Linked DNA regions of Kluyveromyces lactis. The protein of the gene in region 7 purifies or fractionates together with the protein of the main gene of each other region. This does not show direct contact. Links are inferred from orthologs where the notes say so. Each region holds a gene or a part of one and is shown on either strand. Other genes may lie near its edges.

Region 1 (2,031 bases), on a different chromosome or scaffold from region 7:
AGTACACCAGGTGTGGTGTACATCAGGCCTCCTATTGAGAACTATGCGACTTTGGATTTTGGTAAGTTTGAAGAAATATACCAAGTAGGCTACGCGTACGGTCATGACTTTTTACAACATCTGCAAGAGAAAAACGAATTACCGCCAATTGCGGGTACCACAACTTCTGCTTATGCCGACAAAGAAAACATGTTACAAAGACGGAACAGTATATAAAACGAATTAACAGGAAACGCTACCCACATTTGTCGATGGTGGACATGCAGGACATAAAATCAAAGCCATGGCAATTAACGTTATAGTTTCTAAGTAACTGTAAACCGAAAGTTAAAAAAAAATTGAATAAACTAAATATATACTATACAAATGTTAGCGATGGATGTATATTGGGGGCAAAATGAGGATAGCTCACATCGCACTCAATCAATAATGAGGACATGAAGTTATTTCTTCGAATTTCCCTTATTAAATGTTGAAAGAAGAAGAAGGATACTGGACAATCATTCATCTTCTGGTGTTGTTACAAGGGCCACAAGACCACCTCTAACGAAAATCATTTCCGAAAACCTTTCGGTCGTTTTCAAATCTCCTTCTACTAGTTCATAAATGGTTTCCTTTGAATCTGAAAGAACAATATTACAATGTGAGTCGAAAGCCTGAAGAGTACCCACTAATTCACGAGCATCACGTAATTTCACATATACTCGCTCGTCTAAATTCAATTTTAATAGATCCAGAGGCGTATCAGACATCTTTGCGGCGTAAAGTGTGTATGTCTTCTATATTTATGATGCAGTCGTATTCTTACAATAACCAATAATGCAATTGATAGAGGGTACAGCAGTTAGGTTGAATGGTTTCCTTTGTCAGTTTATCAAATGGAGTACCAGGTATAGTAGAGTAGTCGATATACAATCCAAGGCTTAGTTCCATTCACACTCCAGAGCATCCTCCATAACATACTTAATCACCAAATTATTGTTAACGTACTAATTGATAAAAAGTGTTGAAGTTTTGAATTTCGATGTCAATGGAAAGCTCTGAATTATAGAATAATCAGTTAAACCAGGGAAGGTACACGTTTCCAACCATCTTTGAATGATACTGTACCTGTTGAAAGATGGCCAGGATATGCGATGCTAGTTTATCATCTTATTGCACTATGCTTCACTAAGAGAGTCAATAGTCAACCTGATATTCACGTGACTATCACATGACAAAGGCCGGGCAACCTAATGACGGACCCCGAATCAACTCTGTTCGATCAAAAAATTTTTATAACATTTAAGCAGAGGAAAGCTGAATAGGAATTAAAACATGGATGAATCAGCTAGCTGTCGTGATATTGAAGTGTTCTACCTCGATTGAGTAGCTGCAGGACGTGTTTATTATAGCAGGGATATTATATTTTCAAAATGTTCCCAGCAAGAAGGGGATTGCATACTACTTCTAGAGCATGTGCCAGGACGAGATTCACCAAACCTAAACCCAAACCAGCCAAGAGAGAGAACGTTAGACTACCTACCCAGAGGACCCATCACGATAATGATTTAAAGATTACAGCTCCTATTCCACCGGCTGCTGCCAATTTGACATGTCCAGATGATCATCCTTTATGGCAATTTTTCTCCGAGAAGAAGTTTTTAAGAACGCCCGAGGAATTGGATACGCTTTCGAGACCTTGGACCATCCCAGAGTTGAGAAGAAAATCGTTCACTGACCTACATTCTTTGTGGTACACATGTTTGAAAGAACGTAACGTATTAGCACGTGAAAACCATTTGGTGCAGTTCAACTTTGAAGCACAAACCGAAGCATACCAAGATATCTCCGAAAAGATCAGAACGACAATGTGGAGAATAAGACACGTCCTTAGCGAACGAGACTGGGCATTCAAGATAGCGAATGAGAAATTTGCTGTTGAAAAACAAGTATTTATCGAATCATTCGAAAAAGACTTTTTAGAAGCTCCTGCTAACGAAGATGAAGAGATTTTCGAATCATTGCAACGTTTTCAATATGCCATATACG
Region 2 (2,208 bases), on a different chromosome or scaffold from region 7:
AGTGATTGGGTGAAACCATGGATATCCGAAGGTCTTGATCTAACTTTCGGTATTCTTGCCCAACAATACGTCATAAGCAGAATGAATTTGTGAAGTGTCTTTTACATACATATTTTAAAACCCTAATTACTGTTATTAATCATCATTATTATACTCCCATATCAGTTTTTTGGTAACCATTTCTCTTTCAACGATTGAACCGTCGTGCCTAATACAGCTTTTTCCCAGTCAACCCATAAGCTCGTCTGTTTATTCCAAGACCCATTCTCGACACATTTCTGCAATGGTGACCCAAATAGTGGATCCTCAGCAGCTTTTTTCAAAAGAGATTCCGTCTTAGGAATCTGTTCCATTAAGTCGGGCTTATCAATTTTTGCCAAATATTCCAATTGATCTCTAGTAGGGAATTTCTGGCATATTTCAATGTTGATTTTGTTCTTGTGGTTCGATTTTAATGCCGTTAGAAGATTTTGAGCATGAGATGATTCTAATTTGTGTGTGAATAATGTCACTACGCGAGGTTGAAATTGGATGGTTTTAAACATAGACATGATGAATTGAAGATACTGATTGTCAATGTCCCCCTCTATAAAAAATTCGAACTTTTACTCAGTTAAATACTTCAGTCTAATTAAGTCAGGTCACCCCAGTAATTGTTGCTGCCTTTATATACGCAATACTAAATTAAGACATCTTTGAAATATGTACATTTTGGAAATCATACTATTATCCCTCAAATACGCATGGCAGGGAAACAAAATCCCGGAAAATCCAGCAATCAATACTATGATACGGAGTCATGACGTCCCTACTTAGTATCCGGATTGGCAGCACCTTTCACCTACTTGGAAACAGAATCATCAAGCTAACCATTTGTGCCTTGTCTGTGCAATGACTATGCGGTCCTGTAGCAAAGGTAGTCATCCTATAGTTACCCTGCCTCAACGTTACCATACATTTTTTTTCTTCAATTCGTTTCAGCTAGCTCAACATCAAATGGAATTGCAATGAACTGCCAAAAAGATGAATCGTTGGACGCTTTAACGGCCTATTTATCCTTCAAGTGATACCCAGAACTATCACAATCAGTGTTGAATTTTACAATTCATTATAATCTTTTTTTTTTTTTTCACTTGCTCATTGAAAGAATCAGAGTCTCAAATTACAAATGTCCTCTTCGTCTCCGAATAGCGACAGAGCAAGTTCAGTAGGAGTTACTGAACCAGTGGCTTCCGATGTGGAAGAAAATCGTCCTAAGTCCAAGCTATCAGAAGGTGAAGCAGATTTATATTTGGACCAATACAATTTCACAACTACAGCTGCCATTGTTGGCTCAGTAGACCGCAAGATATTCGTACTATTGCGCGATGGCCGTATGTTCTTCGGTGTACTAAGGACGTTTGATCAATATGCCAACTTAATACTACAGCATACGGTGGAAAGAATATATATCGAGGGTGAGAATAAATATGGTGAATGTGACAGAGGAGTTTTCATGATAAGAGGTGAAAACGTTGTTATGTTGGGCGAAGTAGACATCGATAAGGAGGATGCACCATTGGAATCGATGGAACGTGTTCCATTTGAGGAAGCTGAAAGCTATAAGGAGAAAATGGACGAGGTGAAATACAAGGAGAACACTGCTAAGGGTAAGAGACTAGCGCAGCTTGGTTTAACTACCGATTTCAATAAAGGTGATTTGTATTAAGTATAAGATTATAATTAGTTTAAAAGACAAGCAAAAAAAAATCGTAAAACATACAATTCGAAACTAAACTAAACTAAACTAAATCATTACACAAACTGGAGATCGTGTGGTTTTGAAGGGTATTTATCTTTTGATACTCAATTATATATCACATAGAGATATATATATTCACTTATATATGGTTCGGTACTGTACTATTCATAATAAGTAAAATGCATAGATAGCGCGGCATGGCATTCCAAAAAAAAAAAAAAAAAAATTAATGGGACAATAATCCCCATTTGACATAAAATAGAACCATTATAACGGTCAAAATTAATTCTTAACTAACGGATCAACTCATTTGCCAGCGAGCGTCGTTAATTCTTGATCGTATGTCTTTTGAAATTTGTTATAATTACTGATTTCCAACCTCCCCAGTTGTGATATTAATGATTCGTCCGGCGTATCATTAATTCTTAGCGATCGACTCACTTGCCACATATGTGACAAGGGTGTTT
Region 3 (2,275 bases), on a different chromosome or scaffold from region 7:
CGCTTTGATGCGCTAATTGATTGGTCTTCAGTAAAGAGTAAGAATACTACAGAAAATATTATTCAAACAGATTTGCAGCAACAAGCGAAAAGAGAATTTGAAACGTTAAAAGAACAACTCTCACAAGAGATATATACTCACATATATATAAATGAACACCTGGACGCAGTCGGTTTAAAGAATTCAAGATATCTCTCTAATCAGTCGATGCGATGAGATACGGTTTTTTGGTCGAAATTTAACCAAAAAGCTTTGCTGATGTTAGAAAAAAGATTCAATAAGTCACGTGAACGCACATTTGTGCAGATTAGGTCTTGATAAGTGAGATGTAGCCGGTTAGGAAAGTATCTCCGTTGGAGATACTTATTTCATTAGATACAGGTAGAAATGTGGATATGGGCTCATAGTGTGAGTTTGATATAGCACTGAACGTTATATAGCACTATTAATGAACATATATGGTACACTGTTGCTTGAAATTTTTTTTTTTTGGGTCTTAACTAGGTATTGATGATCTCAGCACCTTCGAGGGAACATAGCGAAAGTAGAGCTGTTCCTCTTATGACGACCAAACCAATTTTTTTGGCTTGGTCCTTGTGGATGATGGTTTCATCTTCTGGGTCTCTTGCATATTCGACGGTTTCGTCAAGAACCAAGTTCATTAGCTCGTCATAACCCTTTAGGATTCCAGTGACCAGTCTTCCCCCTATGAACTTGACACGTACTTCTGTGTCCTTATATTGTGCAAGATTTATGATAGACTCACGCTTTGGGCCTTCGAACTTCTTCTTCTGCTCTTGTCTCGGTTGTTGTGATTGCCTCTGCAGAGAAGGGGAATGTATAAACTCTCTAACTGTTAGTAAATTTGAACTTAAAATGTAGAATGGATCATTGTTTTGAGAAAGTTGAAGAAGTTTTAGAAAGCCGTCCTAATTATAGTAGTTAACATACTGCTTCGCTCATTATTAGTAGTTGGTTGGGTGGGGTAGCGCTGTTTGCTCAATGGGTTATTGTCAAAGTGTGTTACTGGTTTCAAATTAACTTTTCATTTAAGTTTACGGAACATTGAAAAATTCGATGTTCAAACATGCCTGGACAAAACGACAAACATTGAACTTACAGCATCGAAGACAAAATAAAACAGAGGATATATCAGCACCGATAATGTCATCTGACGTGGAAATTATATCCGATTTGGTTAACACTCAGATCTTTGTGAAACCTGGTACATCATGGGACCATCTGGGCCAAAGATTGAACGAATTGACCGGTGTTGATGTTCAAGACATGAAATTGGTGATAAATGGCAATGCACAGAACAGCAAGTATTTGAAAGATCTCAAAGACCAGAAAGTAGAGAAAATCCAGTCCATAAAAGTGATAGACACCAACGAAAACAGTTTAGCAAGCCAATTGAAAAATGATTTGCTACATGCTAATAGCGATGACGTTTCGTTCCGATACACCATGGACGATTATGAGAACAGAAGGGATTCTGTATTACAATGGAAAAAAGATAACAAGTTAGGGAAATTTAATCCTGAATACCGCTCTAAGATGGAAGAACAACTACAACTGAATATCGATAAGGCAGAACTATTACAAAAACACGTTGGAGAAAGATGCAGAGTACTGTCCAACGAGGAAACAACGACCGATTCCACCAAGGTCCCCGAAAGAAGAGGATGGTTACGATACGTGGGAAAAGTTCAAGAGATCAGTAATACAGATGTATGGTGTGGAATTGAATTTGACGAACCTGACGGTAAGAACAATGGTACATTCCAAGGAACGAAGTATTTCGGACCAGTAAAAAAGAATTACGGCGGGTTTGTGAGACCTGCCGTTGTTGAAGTAGGTCCTCAATTCACGCCATTAGCTGACGATGAATTGATGCTCACAGATGATGAGTTATAGGGAGTTGATAATTTACATAAGTTTAATTATATTCTCGTCCTTGGCCTCGTGGATGATACTCTGAACTACGGAAATGACACCTGACACACACGTGACAGGGTCTACTACTGAATGAATTCGTAATTGGTTTGAGTCGGGTGTTGTGCCGTAGCTGGTAAAAAGGCCACGTTGCGACTTCGGTTCGAATCTTCCTCAGAACACAAAGTCTCTGTTCATATGAACCTGGTTACAAAAAGATCAAATATGGCAATTCATTTCCTGTTCTCAACTTCATACTAAGCCCTTGAAGCGCTTCAAAGAATATTCACTCTTAAGTATAAGGTGGATGCTCGTTACTTTGAAGTGTTTTGAGAAGAGG
Region 4 (3,743 bases), on a different chromosome or scaffold from region 7:
TAGTATCATTTGTCGAAATAGGTGCCTGAATGGAGAAGCCACATAGCATGGGGCACGCTTTCACGTATGGAGAATAATTCCCAAGACAGTGATGTTCTTTGGCAACAATTGCCCCTGATGGTCTTTTCAAATCACCGGATGGAATAAGTTGACGGTTGCGTAGTGTAGAGGTTATCACCGTGGATTCTGAGAAGTTGCTTCGAGAGAAGTACAAGTCCCGAATATTCCATTAACCCCGGTTCGAATCCGGGCGCGACCATTCTTTTTGGTTGAATTTCAAACTTTTTTTGTCCGAATGGCGTGCATGTCTAATAAAGTAAAAGGCGTTACTATAAATGATTATGAAAGGGTTGACAGTGCTTTATTAACTATCGTGGCTTTGTTATATCTCTGATATGTAGGTTATATTCCAATACATCCAACTTGTAATAAATGAGAATGTAGGTGTATATTTTAATGGATCCGGAGATAATATTTTCATGGGGTTCTGGTATTTTCTCTCATGAATCTAACTCTCCCTTCCAACCAAGTAATTCCAACTCTTTTAAGATCTTAGGTTCTGATTGGATTTTTGTGACCTGGGTGTTTTCTAACTTGACACCTTCGGTTTGTTTTACTTTGAGTGACTCAATGGCTCTTAATTTCTTCAACAAAGATCTGATTTTCTTTTCTTCTGGTGAAGTTTGACTTGCAGCAGATTGTTGAAGGGGCGGCGTTGGAGTTGATTGTGGTGCTCTAGTTTTAGTGGTTCCAGGTACTACAGTTGCTTTTCTAGCATGTGGGGGTTTGTAGGCTCCAGTGGTTTTCTTGGCGCCTAAATTAGTTGATGACTTGTTTGGGTTCTTCAAGTTGAACTGAGTGACCACTGGATGTATTTCTAGCTGATGCTTTCTAATCTTTGGATCTTGTTTCAATTCCTCGTCCTTCAATTTGTTACCGTTGGTAACATACCCATCCTTGATTATTCTGAAAGGACAATTCGTTCTCCAATCCACTTTCAAAAGCTCTTTGTATTCTTTAACGAACACCAAGGTACCAGAATAATGCCAGATTTTCAATCCATTGTCCACTCTCAATCTTGGAGAAGTGGTTGCTGTTAAGATGAACTCGCCGCCTGGAGACCATTTGCAGACAGAAGTGTTTGTAGCGCTAAATTTACTGATGCATCTAAATTTATCATGTCTATCCAAAATATCCACAGAGCCTTGCAAGTTACCGAAACCACCAACAAGGATGTATTTACCATTTGGCGAAAATTCTAATGTGTTTTTCCTTTGTTCGTTTAAAGAATGGATGGCGTTGCCCTTAAGATCAAAGAATGTGATAGTGGCTGGCATGAATCCGTAAATGACACCAAATTGTCTCGAAGTTGGAGACCAGTTGAAATCATGAATTGGTCCTTCTTTACCAAGGGATACACGGACTGATTCGCCACCCAATGCACCATTGACACCTTGGAATGACAATAAGTACAGGTTATTTTCACCGTAGTAGGACTTATTAGAATGATCGAAATCAGTGGTGGTTAGGCATAATATGGCATTACCTAAATCACTCCATTTTAAATGGCATGAATCTGCTTTGAAAAATTGTTTGGTGACAATTTGTTTGGTAATCTTACCAGTGGTAATGGGCCAAATGGTTAATTGTGCAGGTTTTCCTGACTTTTCCTTTGTGAACGTGCAAATAGTTGGATGTTCAGCCGGAGATATTTGATAGGTGGTGAATGGTTGGTCTGGAGTCAAAGTGGCAAATGGCTTGTCAAACTTGAATGTGTCTTCACCACTTAACTTGATGATGCGAAGTTCCTTACCAAATGACTTGATGGCATAGTCATCCAACTTAGAGAATTGTAAAGTCCAAGAACTTTGGGTCGATGCTTTATAACTGTATTTTGGTTCTGTAGACAATGGTGACTCATTCAAGTTCCAAATCTTACAATTTAGGTGTTCTGTGTCGTCTACTAAAGGTCTTTCCCAAGTAGACAAAAAGTTCCCACTTGGAGAAAATTTTAGGTCATAAACGTTCTTTAACGGTAATTCCACCAATGTGATTTCCCAGGTTTCACCGATTAACAGTACAACTTTACTCTCGTACGATTTAGCCATGAATCTACCGCATGGAGACAAAAGAGATTGAATCACTTTACCTTCAGTACCATCGTTTCCGCTCTTAGATGAGGAAATCTCCTCAAATGATGGGTATCCTTGGAAGACTTCCACGGTGGAGTTAGTCTTAGCAAACAACTGGAACGACATGAGCCAAACCTATGTAACTTATTGAGTCTTTCTCGCCTTGGTTGCTAAAATGCTTAAGATTGATTTAAATAGATCTCTAAACCAAAGAATGAATGAATGATGTGAGAGGCACTTTTTTAATAGTTTTCTCAATCAATTGAAGCTCTCTTAAAAATTAATGGATGGCTTAATGACTTAAGTAATAATTTGCGCCAAATTAGCGAAATAGCAGGCCTTGCACACCTATTTATCTCCAACCAAACGCAAACACTATCGAAACAATTAGATATCGATGATTATATCTTTAGAGTGAAAGAAAGCCTTCAAGTTGAAAAGTTCGAAGAGGAAGAAGCGAAAAAAAAAAATTGATATGACATGTGTATGTCAGGGTAACGAGACTTTTCTCAACATTTGGCATGGGGATAAATATCGTGATGATCAAATCTGCTTAAAGCAAATGTAATAGATCCGAATGGTACATTAGACATTGGGTTAACATAGTTAATATTTGCCTAATATATTGAAAGTTTTGGGTACTGATAGAATAACACCTTACCGTAATAGCTTAAGATTTAATTTGCATGCGTTTAACGATAAAATTTACGAGATTTGTCCATTAGTTTAATTATTATATCGATGAGCACAACAATAAGAAGATTAGGATTTCTGCGGTCTGTGCGGCGGTACAGTGGGACCTCTGGGTGTGCTGATATTGGTAACAATGGAAAGATGAGTACTGAAAATATCCGTCGTGTGAATTTGGGATGTACGATAACATACTTGCAGTCAAATGTCCCACATCTTCTACAAACTTCTTTACATGAACCGAGACTAAGCAAAGACATAGAGTTGAAGATTATGCCTATTACCCATCCGTACTTGCCAAGCTTCTCCGGAATAACGAAGTATTATGCTGTCTGGAATAGCATACGGTTCTTATTGAACACTTTTGCATTCTCAGTTGAAAACAGGGTACGTATTAAAAGCCTTGACGTTGAGAAGCATGAAGTAATTATGAGATGGGAAACCCATCCCTTGGCTGCAGATAATCTAGGGAGTATCAAGAAAGCTGAGTCAGAGACGAAAATTTCAGGGATCTTTATCTTTGGTTTGAATGAGAACTGTGATAAGATTACGAGTCATCTAATAGATGATGTCGAAATAATCGAAAAAGATAAAAAGATAGATTTTAGTTCAAAGGTTCAAAATGGTGCAATCGCCTACTTCAAGACATGGTCAGGACCATGATCTCTATGGTTATCGATTCCACAAGTGCACTCTTGTATATACACGTTGCCTTTTCTTTATTTCCAACTTGAGACATATATATTTACGTGTATGGAAGTATGTTAATTTAGATGGGTTTTTTATTATGATTATATCACTAGGGCAATTAACGAAACCTTACTGGAAGGCAAAGCTAGAAAATAGTGTTGAACCTGGTATGAATATTAGATGTCTACTATTTAAAGTTCGTTGTTTGGACACGAAGTGAATTGAATGGTT
Region 5 (4,157 bases), about 440 kb from region 7:
AAAAGTTTTTGAATAGACGGAACAGATGCTTTTCCCTTGAGTTTACCTTTTTTAGCCTCTCCGGGCACAATTGTGCTTTTGGCTTTAACGTCGGCTTCTTTCAACCAATCTGCTATTTCATTTTCGAAATATTCCTTAGGATCAGGAACCGTAGTTGAAGTTTGGTTAATTTCTGCAAAGTTGGCCATGTCATAAAATTCACCAACTTTCATCGAATAATCATCGACAACTCTCTGTAGTAAAAGAATTTTTTGGTCAGCATCCAATAAAAGCACATTTCCGGCACTGAAAAATTCTAAAACAAGGTAGTACTTACCATCAGCAAAAGTAAACACAATTATTCTGTCATTTGGGATCTGCTTAACTGCCGTCAATCGTTTTTCTTTCAAATACGATCTCAATTTGGAAACAAACCACGAAGGAGTCGGGGGAATCGGCCTGGTAAAGTCAGTAGTATGAACTCGCAATCCGCAATCAATGACAACGTTTAACTTGGAATCGGGTTTTCCAAACTTTAATAAGAATTGCCTGTTTGAGTCAGCAATGTTATAGATATTTCTTAAGCGAAATCCTACAATTTGATTCTCCAACTCTTTGGATATCAGTTGCAAATCTAACGAACTCAATCTCTGTTTCATTTTCTAGTATCAAATCCAAGATTATAGTTTAGATATTTCGTACTCTCCAAGTTGCAGTTAAGTCCACTTTACCAGTCTGAGTTGATTCTTTTCGAGCACTATACTTGATTCAGATCTTCATACAAATCAGTATTTTCACTGCTAATCAGATTAAAATTATTAGAACTTGGTCACTGCTATTAGATCAGATATCTTTTATTACTTAGGTTTAAGACTAAACTGCTAAGCTGATATATTTTCCAGATAGCTGTACCTAGGATGTTAGTAGTATATGTCATCTTTGTCTATTCGCAATCACTTTATATATGCTGCTAATGAAGGAAAGAAAGACTACGTACGAGTTTGTATTGGAACTTTCTAAACTACCATGTTGAAAAATGTCAAATATTTGAAATCACATGACCTGAATTTCAAATTTTGAACTAGAAATCCTTAATATGTATATCATCTTGCACGGTGAAATTTTTCATCAAACAACAACCCAAAAATGTAATTCACTTAACAAGCAAAGTAGTTTCTATGCTCAAAAATAAGTGATCAGAGATATTCAGAGACCGTTTGTTGGAAGATTGCTTGAACGAAACGCAGGCAGGTAGCGACTTAAATCACATTACTTGTGTTTTTAAGAGAATATAATAGGATTTGTCGACAATTCTGATCTAGAAATCGATTTTTGCCCAATTAGTATAGGAGTCCTTATATTCCTGAATCACTGAACGATGTCATTCTTCGGTTTTGACGCCACGGGCCGAAAACCTCGTGAGAGGAAACAGCAAGGCGAGGAGGATTCTTTAGATTTCGAAGAAACGTATCAAGGCTTGGGTGATTATGAGCCAGAGGAAGATGATTTGCTCAATGATGAAACTTTTGGTACTGGAGCGGATCTGGGTACAGATTTTGATTTTGGTTACGGTAAAGGGGAGCTTGGCGCTGGTTCAGGTTCTGGTAGGGCACCAGCACCAGCTCCTGTTTCTTATGCATCTATTGCAAATGCCAAAATGAACAGACAAGCAGACTGTAAACCTGGTTTCGAACAATCGCTGGACATGCAACCTATGGAATCTTTATGGGGTAACAGCTCCGGTAATCAGCAACAACAGGTGCAACCTCAAGCCCCTACACAATTCCAAGCCCCACCACAGGTTCAACAGCAAGGTGCACCTAATGTGGAAGGATTGGCCATTCAATCTTTAGACAGACAACAACAGATGGCTATGCCGCCTCAACCTGGATTCTATGGTATGCAACCTCCGCAGAACCCTGGCTACGGCTTTATTCCACAAGGGTTCCCTCAAGGTCAATACCAGCAATTCCCTGGGCAAAATATTCCCCCTGTTATCCCTAATCAATTCGGTAATGCCGGATTTCCTAATCAACCTGTTAACCCTCAGGAACAATTCCAACAAGTACCACCGATAATGTACAATCAAACACAAGGAAACATTGCACATCATATGCAACATCCGCAGATGGCTATGCCACCAATGCAAAATCAACCTCCTGTTCAGCCCCAGCAGCCCCACCAACAGCAGTTACCTCCCCAATACTTGCCTCAACAACACCAACAAGATCAGCAGCACCAACAACAACACCAACAGCAACAAGTGTTCCAACAGCCTCACTCCGTTGACACTGCTGCTAGAACCCAAGCTGTCCGTTCTACTCAAGATTATGAGCATTCTAACTCTCCAACACCTGTGCCAACAGAATCAGAGCAGGTGCCAACTCCACCTCATACACCTAGAGAGTATCGCCGTGGTCCAAGGAGGTTTGGCACCCAAGATCCTTTGACTGATGAAGAATTGAGACGTCTTCAAATCAGACAATCGAAGGTTGACAAAATTCTCAGACACTCTGGTGTAATGACTCCAAGAGACAAGGATTTTATCACCAGGTATCAGTTATCTCAAATTGTCACTGATGATCCCTACAATGAGGATTTCTACTTCCAAGTTTATAAAATCATTCAAAGGGGTGTCACTCCATCTGAATCTAATAAGGATTCTATTGCTAAAGCATATTTAGAGCACTCGGGTCACAGATTAGGAGGTCGTTACAAGAGAACTGACGTCGCGTTACAGAGAATGCAATCTCAGGTCGAGAAGGCTGTTACCGTTGCGAAAGAAAGACCACAGAAAAGTAAGGGTGGGTTGGATAATGCCAAAGAGGGTGTCTTGGGTAAAATCTCAGCTACTAGGAACTCAAAAGCTCCAAGAAAGCAATTACAAATCCCAACTCACAAAGAGGATTCTCCAGCGTTGTCTTCTCAATCAAGCTCAGCCCTAGATGAGGTGTCTGAATCTTTGCAAGGCGTGGATATCAATGCCAAAAGAAGAAGATCATCTTATGCTTTGAGTTCTTCAGTGGACCATCGTACAGTTTTATCCCGTTCTGGTGGCCGTAAGTTCATTTTATCATTGATTGAAACTGTTTACGAAGAAGTGCTTGAACTAGAAGCTCAATTGAGATCCGGTCAACAGCCGGACAGTTCAAAATTATGGGAGGCGCTACACGTTGAGGACCACGGTTTTGACGTTTCTCCCTTCATTTCCATCTTATCTTTCGACAAAGGTATCAAGATTATGCCACGTATTATGAATTTCTTGTCAAGAGAAGAGAAGATTAAGCTTTTCAACTGCTTCTTCAAGGAACTTTCTCATTTGAATGTCATTGTCATATCATCGTACAAGACTACTCCACTTCCTACTAAAGATCAACTGAAGAAGATGGAATTGTTCCAATCTGTGTTTTTGAAGATCATTGTTTCGTTCTTATCCAGTTCAGCAGAGTTTTTGGAGGTAATGAGTCTACTAATAAATGTCATTCAGAATAATAACGTTTCTTTCATCACCACATCGCGTATCGGTTTGAATTTGATTACCGTGCTCATTTCACGTGCTGCTTTGATGAAACAAGATGTTAGCAGGGGCAAACTGTTGTCTTCTGTGGAAGTATCCACTTGGAGTGAAGTCTATGATAGGCTATTTACTTCTTTAGAAACAAAATTGACTGCAATTTTCCCAACACCTGAATATATGCAACACGCCATTTCAGTTTATGAACAGGATTCTACTCAGTATGATCAATCTTACATCTGGCAGTTCCTTGCATCGCTTGCTTTGAGCGGAAAATTGAACCATCAACGTATATTGATTGATGAAGTGAGAGACGAAATTTTCGAAGTCATTTCAAAGGCTGAAGAACTAAATGCCCCTTCTCAACAAGACCCTAAACTGGCTTATCAAAGAAACAAGTTCTATCAGGATTTGAACTTGTTCTTGAATGTCATGGGTCTTGTTGCTCGTGATGGTGAAATCACTGAACTGAAGTGATCGATATCGTGCGCCTCCTCTGATCAGCCCCTATCTCGATTGCCACTGTTAACTGTGTGCTACAAATTCGAAATCAAATCTCAAGGAAAAAAATTGCAAAAAAAAGTCAGCTTTATAGTATCTAAGTAATTCTTCTATTTACTATTACAAATGTATCATATTTCCATCTACTAGAACACTTCAATCC
Region 6 (2,134 bases), on a different chromosome or scaffold from region 7:
CGATTTTCGTATGCTTACAATGGTGGTCAACCCAATATTTGGATCACCATTTCAGATACGATTTATTCGTCGGTGCCGTTTATGCTGTAATCTCATACATCTTGATCAACAAATACGTCTTGCAACCAAAAGTTATCAAGCCTTGGCTAATAACCAGGGCTGATCCTACCTTGGACAAAATGAAAGAGTCAAAAACTATGGGTATGAGAGTTTTTGAAAACACTAAGATCGAATGGTTTTTCGATCCCTTGGCATGATATAGTTGAACAACAAAAATCAACAAACCTTCGGATACGGTATATCAAACGTCTCGTACGTTTGCATTGATTCATTTTTTGTATAAGCTGCACTTCAATATGATAATTATTTTACATATAAAATATATAATATATACTTACAAAGGATGTTAGTCAATATATCAATACCAAACATCTGAGAGAGAAAAAAACAGCATGCATGTTACAGATTTCGTTTTGAACATCAATATGCAGTTCCATTGTTTAATTTGAAGCAGGTTTTCCACCAGGTATCAACATAGCAATGTTGTTACCAGTCAATAACATCTTTCCCTGGAATCTTTTAATCTCCTGGTCTTCCAAATACTCTACCGCATTTTCAATGACAACATTAACGTAATCATCGAACCCTACTAGCGTACCAAAGAATTCTCTGTAATCTTTAAGTAGAATGGTCACTTCCTGTCCTATTGTTTTGTCAATGACCTCTAGGGGCAAAATCTCTGAAACACTACTCATATCCCGTCGTTTTATAAATATGTGTTGATGCAGTAGTAGAGCAGGAGGTTTTAATAGTCTAATGATACTAATAGACAGTAGTTGTCGTCAGCTCACAGCTTTATCTCTTTGATCAAAGGTACTTATTTCTTGAAACTTTCAAAGCTCTCTCAATATGTGATTGTATGGTGAAAGTAAGCGTAGTTGGCCGAAAGAAGGCAATAAAGTAAAGAAATGAGCCCATAAAAAGCCTTAAAAGCTGCTACAAGGTAGGCCAAGAATGTTGTATCTATTGGCATCGACTTGATGGTGCTGTTGGCTACAAAGGCTTAAACAACATGCAATTTCGCTAGGAACGGACGGTACGGGTCACATGACATCTCACTAAACACGAACATCAGGTGTCCCTGAGACACTGTTCACCAGCTGTGATGATTGGCGTTCTGGTCCAAGATTAAGCCTCTGGTGACCATTCAACTTGCCAGTCCGGTATTTACAGGTTCTGTCAACTTTAGATTTGGTTATCACTCACAAATTCCTACCAAGTGGTGCGTAATTTCTATATTCTTGCCGCAACTGTTGTTTCTCCTTTGTACAATATCAAAATAACAATTCAATTGCAATATCAATCATATATACTAAGGTTTTACATATGATGATAAGGATAAGGATAACAAATACATATAGACACACATCTCACAAGACTATCACTTCCGTTATTGAGCAGTTCACAAAGACATCATATCTGTCTAACACTAGTTGATAAAATCAATTGGTCTAGGAGTTGAATACCATTGTTGATAATAAGGTTCGATTGATTTTAGAAGCAAACTAGAATAAGGAGCAAATAATTGTATTATTGTGGCTAGAATTGAAGAAACAACATTAGGAAATCATTATTAAGTATTATAAAATCAGAAAAGAATTTTCACTATGTCATCGTCATTGCCACTGCATGTTTATATTAGACCATTAACGATAGAAGATTGCCAAGCATCAGTAGAGCTAGAGGCACAAGGCTTCCCACCTGAAGAAAGGGCTGGAAAGGAGAAGATCGAATTCAGATTGAAGATGTGCCCCGAATTGAGCTCGGGTCTTTTCATTAGAGACGTTAAAGGCACTGAGATTTTGGGAGAAAAGTTGATTGGCCATATCTTTGGTACCAAGATCCCCATCCCAAAAAACGGTACCAAGGAATTAACTTTTATTACCAACGAAAGCATGAGTTTCACACAAGACGATTCTTCTCCTGTCATTGGAGTGCATTCTGTCGTCATTGCTCCACAACATCAGAAGAAGAACCTAGCTACTCTACTATTGACAGATTACATCCAAAAGATGTCTAACCAAGAAATCGGAGACAGAATTGTTATCATTGCCCATAACGAGCTGGTACCATT
Region 7 (2,062 bases):
CGTATGGTGGGGAGGCGACCGTTGATGGTTATAATAGTGAGACTAGATTAAAACTTACAGTCAAAAAGGGTTCTCTCAGAGCAGAGCCTAACATCGGAAAAGTTAGAGCGAAATTGGATTCTCAAGCCTTGAGATTCTACCCAACACAAGTGTTTTCAAAAATAGCTCGTGTCCACCCTCTCTTCTTGTCAAAAATTACTTCAAGATATTTGGTCAATGATTCTAAAAAGAAAAGCCATAACGTCGGTTTGATGATCAAATTCAAAGCAAGAAATCAAAAAGTTCTCGGTTATGCCAGATGCAGCTCAAACAAATGGGAATACTCTGACGTCGCTCTTGGTTTGTTAGAGCAGTTCAGATCTACATTCCCTGAGTTCTTTGCGAAACTTTCTAACTCGAAGGAACAAGCAATTCCATCGATCACTGATCTCTTCCCTAACAAATCTAGCGCGGAAGCTGATTCCATTTTGAAAACAGTGGCTGATTGGCTCTCAGAAGCAAGAAAACCATTCGTGGTGGTGTCTTTGGAAAGTGATTCGCTAACCAAGGCTTCGATGGCAGCTGTTGAATCTGAAATCATAAAATACGTTTCTTTACCAGATTCAAGCGAGCAGAAGAAATTAGCTAAGGTCCCACGTGAGGCAATCTTAAATGCGGAATCGTCATATGTTCTATTGCGCTCCCAAAGGTTCCACTTAGGTGATAGGGTAATGTACATTCAAGATTCAGGCAAGGTTCCACTTCACAGCAAAGGTACTGTCGTTGGCTACACTTCAATTGGCAAGAACGTCTCAATCCAAGTTCTATTTGACAATGAAATAATTGCAGGAAACAACTTTGGTGGTAGGTTGCAGACCAGACGTGGTTTGGGATTGGACTCTTCCTTCTTATTAAACTTGTCTGATAGACAATTGGTATATCATTCAAAGGCATCGAAGAGTGCTGATAAGAAACCAAAAGCAGTTCCTAATGATAAGCAAGTCGCCCTCGCAAAAAAGAAGAGAGTGGAGGAACTCAAAAAAAAGCAAGCCCATGAGTTGTTAAATCATATCAAGAAGGATAACGCGGAATCAAATACCGAATCTGGATCCGCTCCGCAAATAGCAGTTAACACTTTAAATCCTTCGGCTGCTAACAACGTGTTCAATGCCGTCTTGAACCAAATCAAACCAGGTTCTCAACAGCAAATTCAACCACCTCCAGCAAATTCTCTGCCTTACAATTTCACTGTTCCCCCACATATGGTTCCTGGTGGTATTCCTCATCCTCTTATGATGCAGCCGCCTTTCATTCCGAATAATGAGCATATTGCTTATGCAGCTCCTCCTCAGTCACAACCTGTACAAAATCCACCATTAGATAAAGAGGCATCCAGGAATCTTAAGAATCTCCTAATTAGAGATGAGAATGGACGTACAGCAAATGTGGAGAATAAAGACTCAGATGATACAAAGAGATCTTCTCATTCTCGTGGCGGTCGTCGTGGCCGTAGTAATCGTGGTCGTGGTGCCTCCGGGAGGGGTGGTCATTTCAAAAATTCTCCTAAAAAAACTGAAACCTGAATGTTGGTTTGAATGGACTATTAACAGTAAATATTATATCACTTCAGTAAATAATGCTTAGTATATAAGAATAGAGACACTTTCAGGTTCAACTTTTCAAAATTCCCGGTTTGTTGTTTGTTCCTTTATTTTTTGATCAGCGATATCGTGACTCTTAGCAAACCACTTAGTTTCAAACCCATTTGATCTATCAACTCCATCCCATCTATAACCGGGAACGATACCGAACCGATTTTCTGGAAAGTTTTTCTCGTAAAGCCTTCGACCCAACAGTGACGTATTCGTTCCTCGCAGGGTGTTTCCTTGATTCAATGGATCTTCGGTTGATAATAATGCACTTTTCTCAGTTTTGCGATCAAGTTTTGATATTTGTACTTCGCCTATATTTCGTATTTTAAGTTCTTCTTCCTTACGTACTTTCGCTGTCAAATTAGCCTTTTCTCGAAGTTTCAATTCTTCTTCGTATCCATCTATTACCTTACCTTTTTCGTCTCTATATA

The links.
Region 1: the proteins of XRN1 (region 7) and LSM3 purify together in Saccharomyces cerevisiae (affinity purification with mass spectrometry; 6 studies listed by BioGRID, with this or other methods). This does not show direct contact. The link is inferred for Kluyveromyces lactis from reciprocal best matches to the Saccharomyces cerevisiae genes XRN1 and LSM3.
Region 2: the proteins of XRN1 (region 7) and LSM1 purify together in Saccharomyces cerevisiae (affinity purification with mass spectrometry; 6 studies listed by BioGRID, with this or other methods). This does not show direct contact. The link is inferred for Kluyveromyces lactis from reciprocal best matches to the Saccharomyces cerevisiae genes XRN1 and LSM1.
Region 3: the proteins of XRN1 (region 7) and LSM7 purify together in Saccharomyces cerevisiae (affinity purification with mass spectrometry; 4 studies listed by BioGRID). This does not show direct contact. The link is inferred for Kluyveromyces lactis from reciprocal best matches to the Saccharomyces cerevisiae genes XRN1 and LSM7.
Region 4: the proteins of XRN1 (region 7) and KLLA0_A02761g purify together in Saccharomyces cerevisiae (affinity purification with mass spectrometry; 5 studies listed by BioGRID, with this or other methods). This does not show direct contact. The link is inferred for Kluyveromyces lactis from reciprocal best matches to the Saccharomyces cerevisiae genes XRN1 and YGR054W.
Region 5: the proteins of XRN1 (region 7) and PAT1 purify together in Saccharomyces cerevisiae (affinity purification with mass spectrometry; 8 studies listed by BioGRID, with this or other methods). This does not show direct contact. The link is inferred for Kluyveromyces lactis from reciprocal best matches to the Saccharomyces cerevisiae genes XRN1 and PAT1.
Region 6: the proteins of XRN1 (region 7) and LSM5 purify together in Saccharomyces cerevisiae (affinity purification with mass spectrometry; 5 studies listed by BioGRID). This does not show direct contact. The link is inferred for Kluyveromyces lactis from reciprocal best matches to the Saccharomyces cerevisiae genes XRN1 and LSM5.

What each region holds. Positions count from the first base shown.
Region 1 is NC_006038.1:468,650-470,680, reverse strand, and holds LSM3 (U4/U6-U5 snRNP complex subunit LSM3), read right to left. Parts: upstream 753-2,031; coding exon 501-752; downstream 1-500. Other genes in the region: NTE1 (lysophospholipase), read left to right, coding at 1-216; MRPL4 (mitochondrial 54S ribosomal protein uL29m), read left to right, coding at 1,416-2,031. UniProt on the Saccharomyces cerevisiae protein: Component of LSm protein complexes, which are involved in RNA processing and may function in a chaperone-like manner. Component of the cytoplasmic LSM1-LSM7 complex which is involved in mRNA degradation by activating the decapping step.
Region 2 is NC_006041.1:1,348,189-1,350,396, forward strand, and holds LSM1 (Lsm1p), read left to right. Parts: upstream 1-1,168; coding exon 1,169-1,708; downstream 1,709-2,208. Other genes in the region: DUF5427 domain-containing protein MTC1, read left to right, coding at 1-93; FMP46 (putative redox protein), read right to left, coding at 162-551; KLLA0_E15181g (uncharacterized protein), read right to left, coding at 2,048-2,208. UniProt on the Saccharomyces cerevisiae protein: Component of the cytoplasmic LSM1-LSM7 complex which is involved in mRNA degradation by activating the decapping step.
Region 3 is NC_006041.1:2,036,969-2,039,243, reverse strand, and holds LSM7 (Sm-like protein LSM7), read right to left. Parts: upstream 964-2,275; coding exon 952-963; intron 822-951; coding exon 501-821; downstream 1-500. Other genes in the region: ALF1 (Alf1p), read left to right, coding at 1,165-1,917. UniProt on the Saccharomyces cerevisiae protein: Component of LSm protein complexes, which are involved in RNA processing and may function in a chaperone-like manner. Component of the cytoplasmic LSM1-LSM7 complex which is involved in mRNA degradation by activating the decapping step.
Region 4 is NC_006037.1:246,386-250,128, reverse strand, and holds KLLA0_A02761g (translation initiation factor 2A), read right to left. Parts: upstream 2,259-3,743; coding exon 501-2,258; downstream 1-500. Other genes in the region: MCO32 (Mco32p), read left to right, coding at 2,874-3,485. UniProt on the Saccharomyces cerevisiae protein: Functions in the early steps of protein synthesis of a small number of specific mRNAs. Acts by directing the binding of methionyl-tRNAi to 40S ribosomal subunits.
Region 5 is NC_006042.1:2,529,591-2,533,747, forward strand, and holds PAT1 (deadenylation-dependent mRNA-decapping factor PAT1), read left to right. Parts: upstream 1-1,357; coding exon 1,358-3,970; downstream 3,971-4,157. Other genes in the region: RQC2 (Rqc2p), read right to left, coding at 1-638. UniProt on the Saccharomyces cerevisiae protein: Activator of decapping that functions as a general and active mechanism of translational repression and required for P-body formation. First decay factor recruited to mRNA, at a time when the mRNA is still associated with translation factors.
Region 6 is NC_006041.1:902,701-904,834, forward strand, and holds LSM5 (RNA-binding protein LSM5), read right to left. Parts: upstream 756-2,134; coding exon 501-755; downstream 1-500. Other genes in the region: IPT1 (inositolphosphotransferase), read left to right, coding at 1-257; PAA1 (polyamine acetyltransferase), read left to right, coding at 1,668-2,134. UniProt on the Saccharomyces cerevisiae protein: Component of LSm protein complexes, which are involved in RNA processing and may function in a chaperone-like manner. Component of the cytoplasmic LSM1-LSM7 complex which is involved in mRNA degradation by activating the decapping step.
Region 7 is NC_006042.1:2,094,035-2,096,096, forward strand, and holds the end of XRN1 (chromatin-binding exonuclease XRN1), read left to right. Parts: coding exon 1-1,562; downstream 1,563-2,062. Other genes in the region: BUD13 (Bud13p), read right to left, coding at 1,659-2,062. UniProt on the Saccharomyces cerevisiae protein: Multifunctional protein that exhibits several independent functions at different levels of the cellular processes. 5'-3' exonuclease component of the nonsense-mediated mRNA decay (NMD) which is a highly conserved mRNA degradation pathway, an RNA surveillance system whose role is to identify and rid cells of mRNA with premature termination codons and thus prevents accumulation of potentially harmful truncated proteins.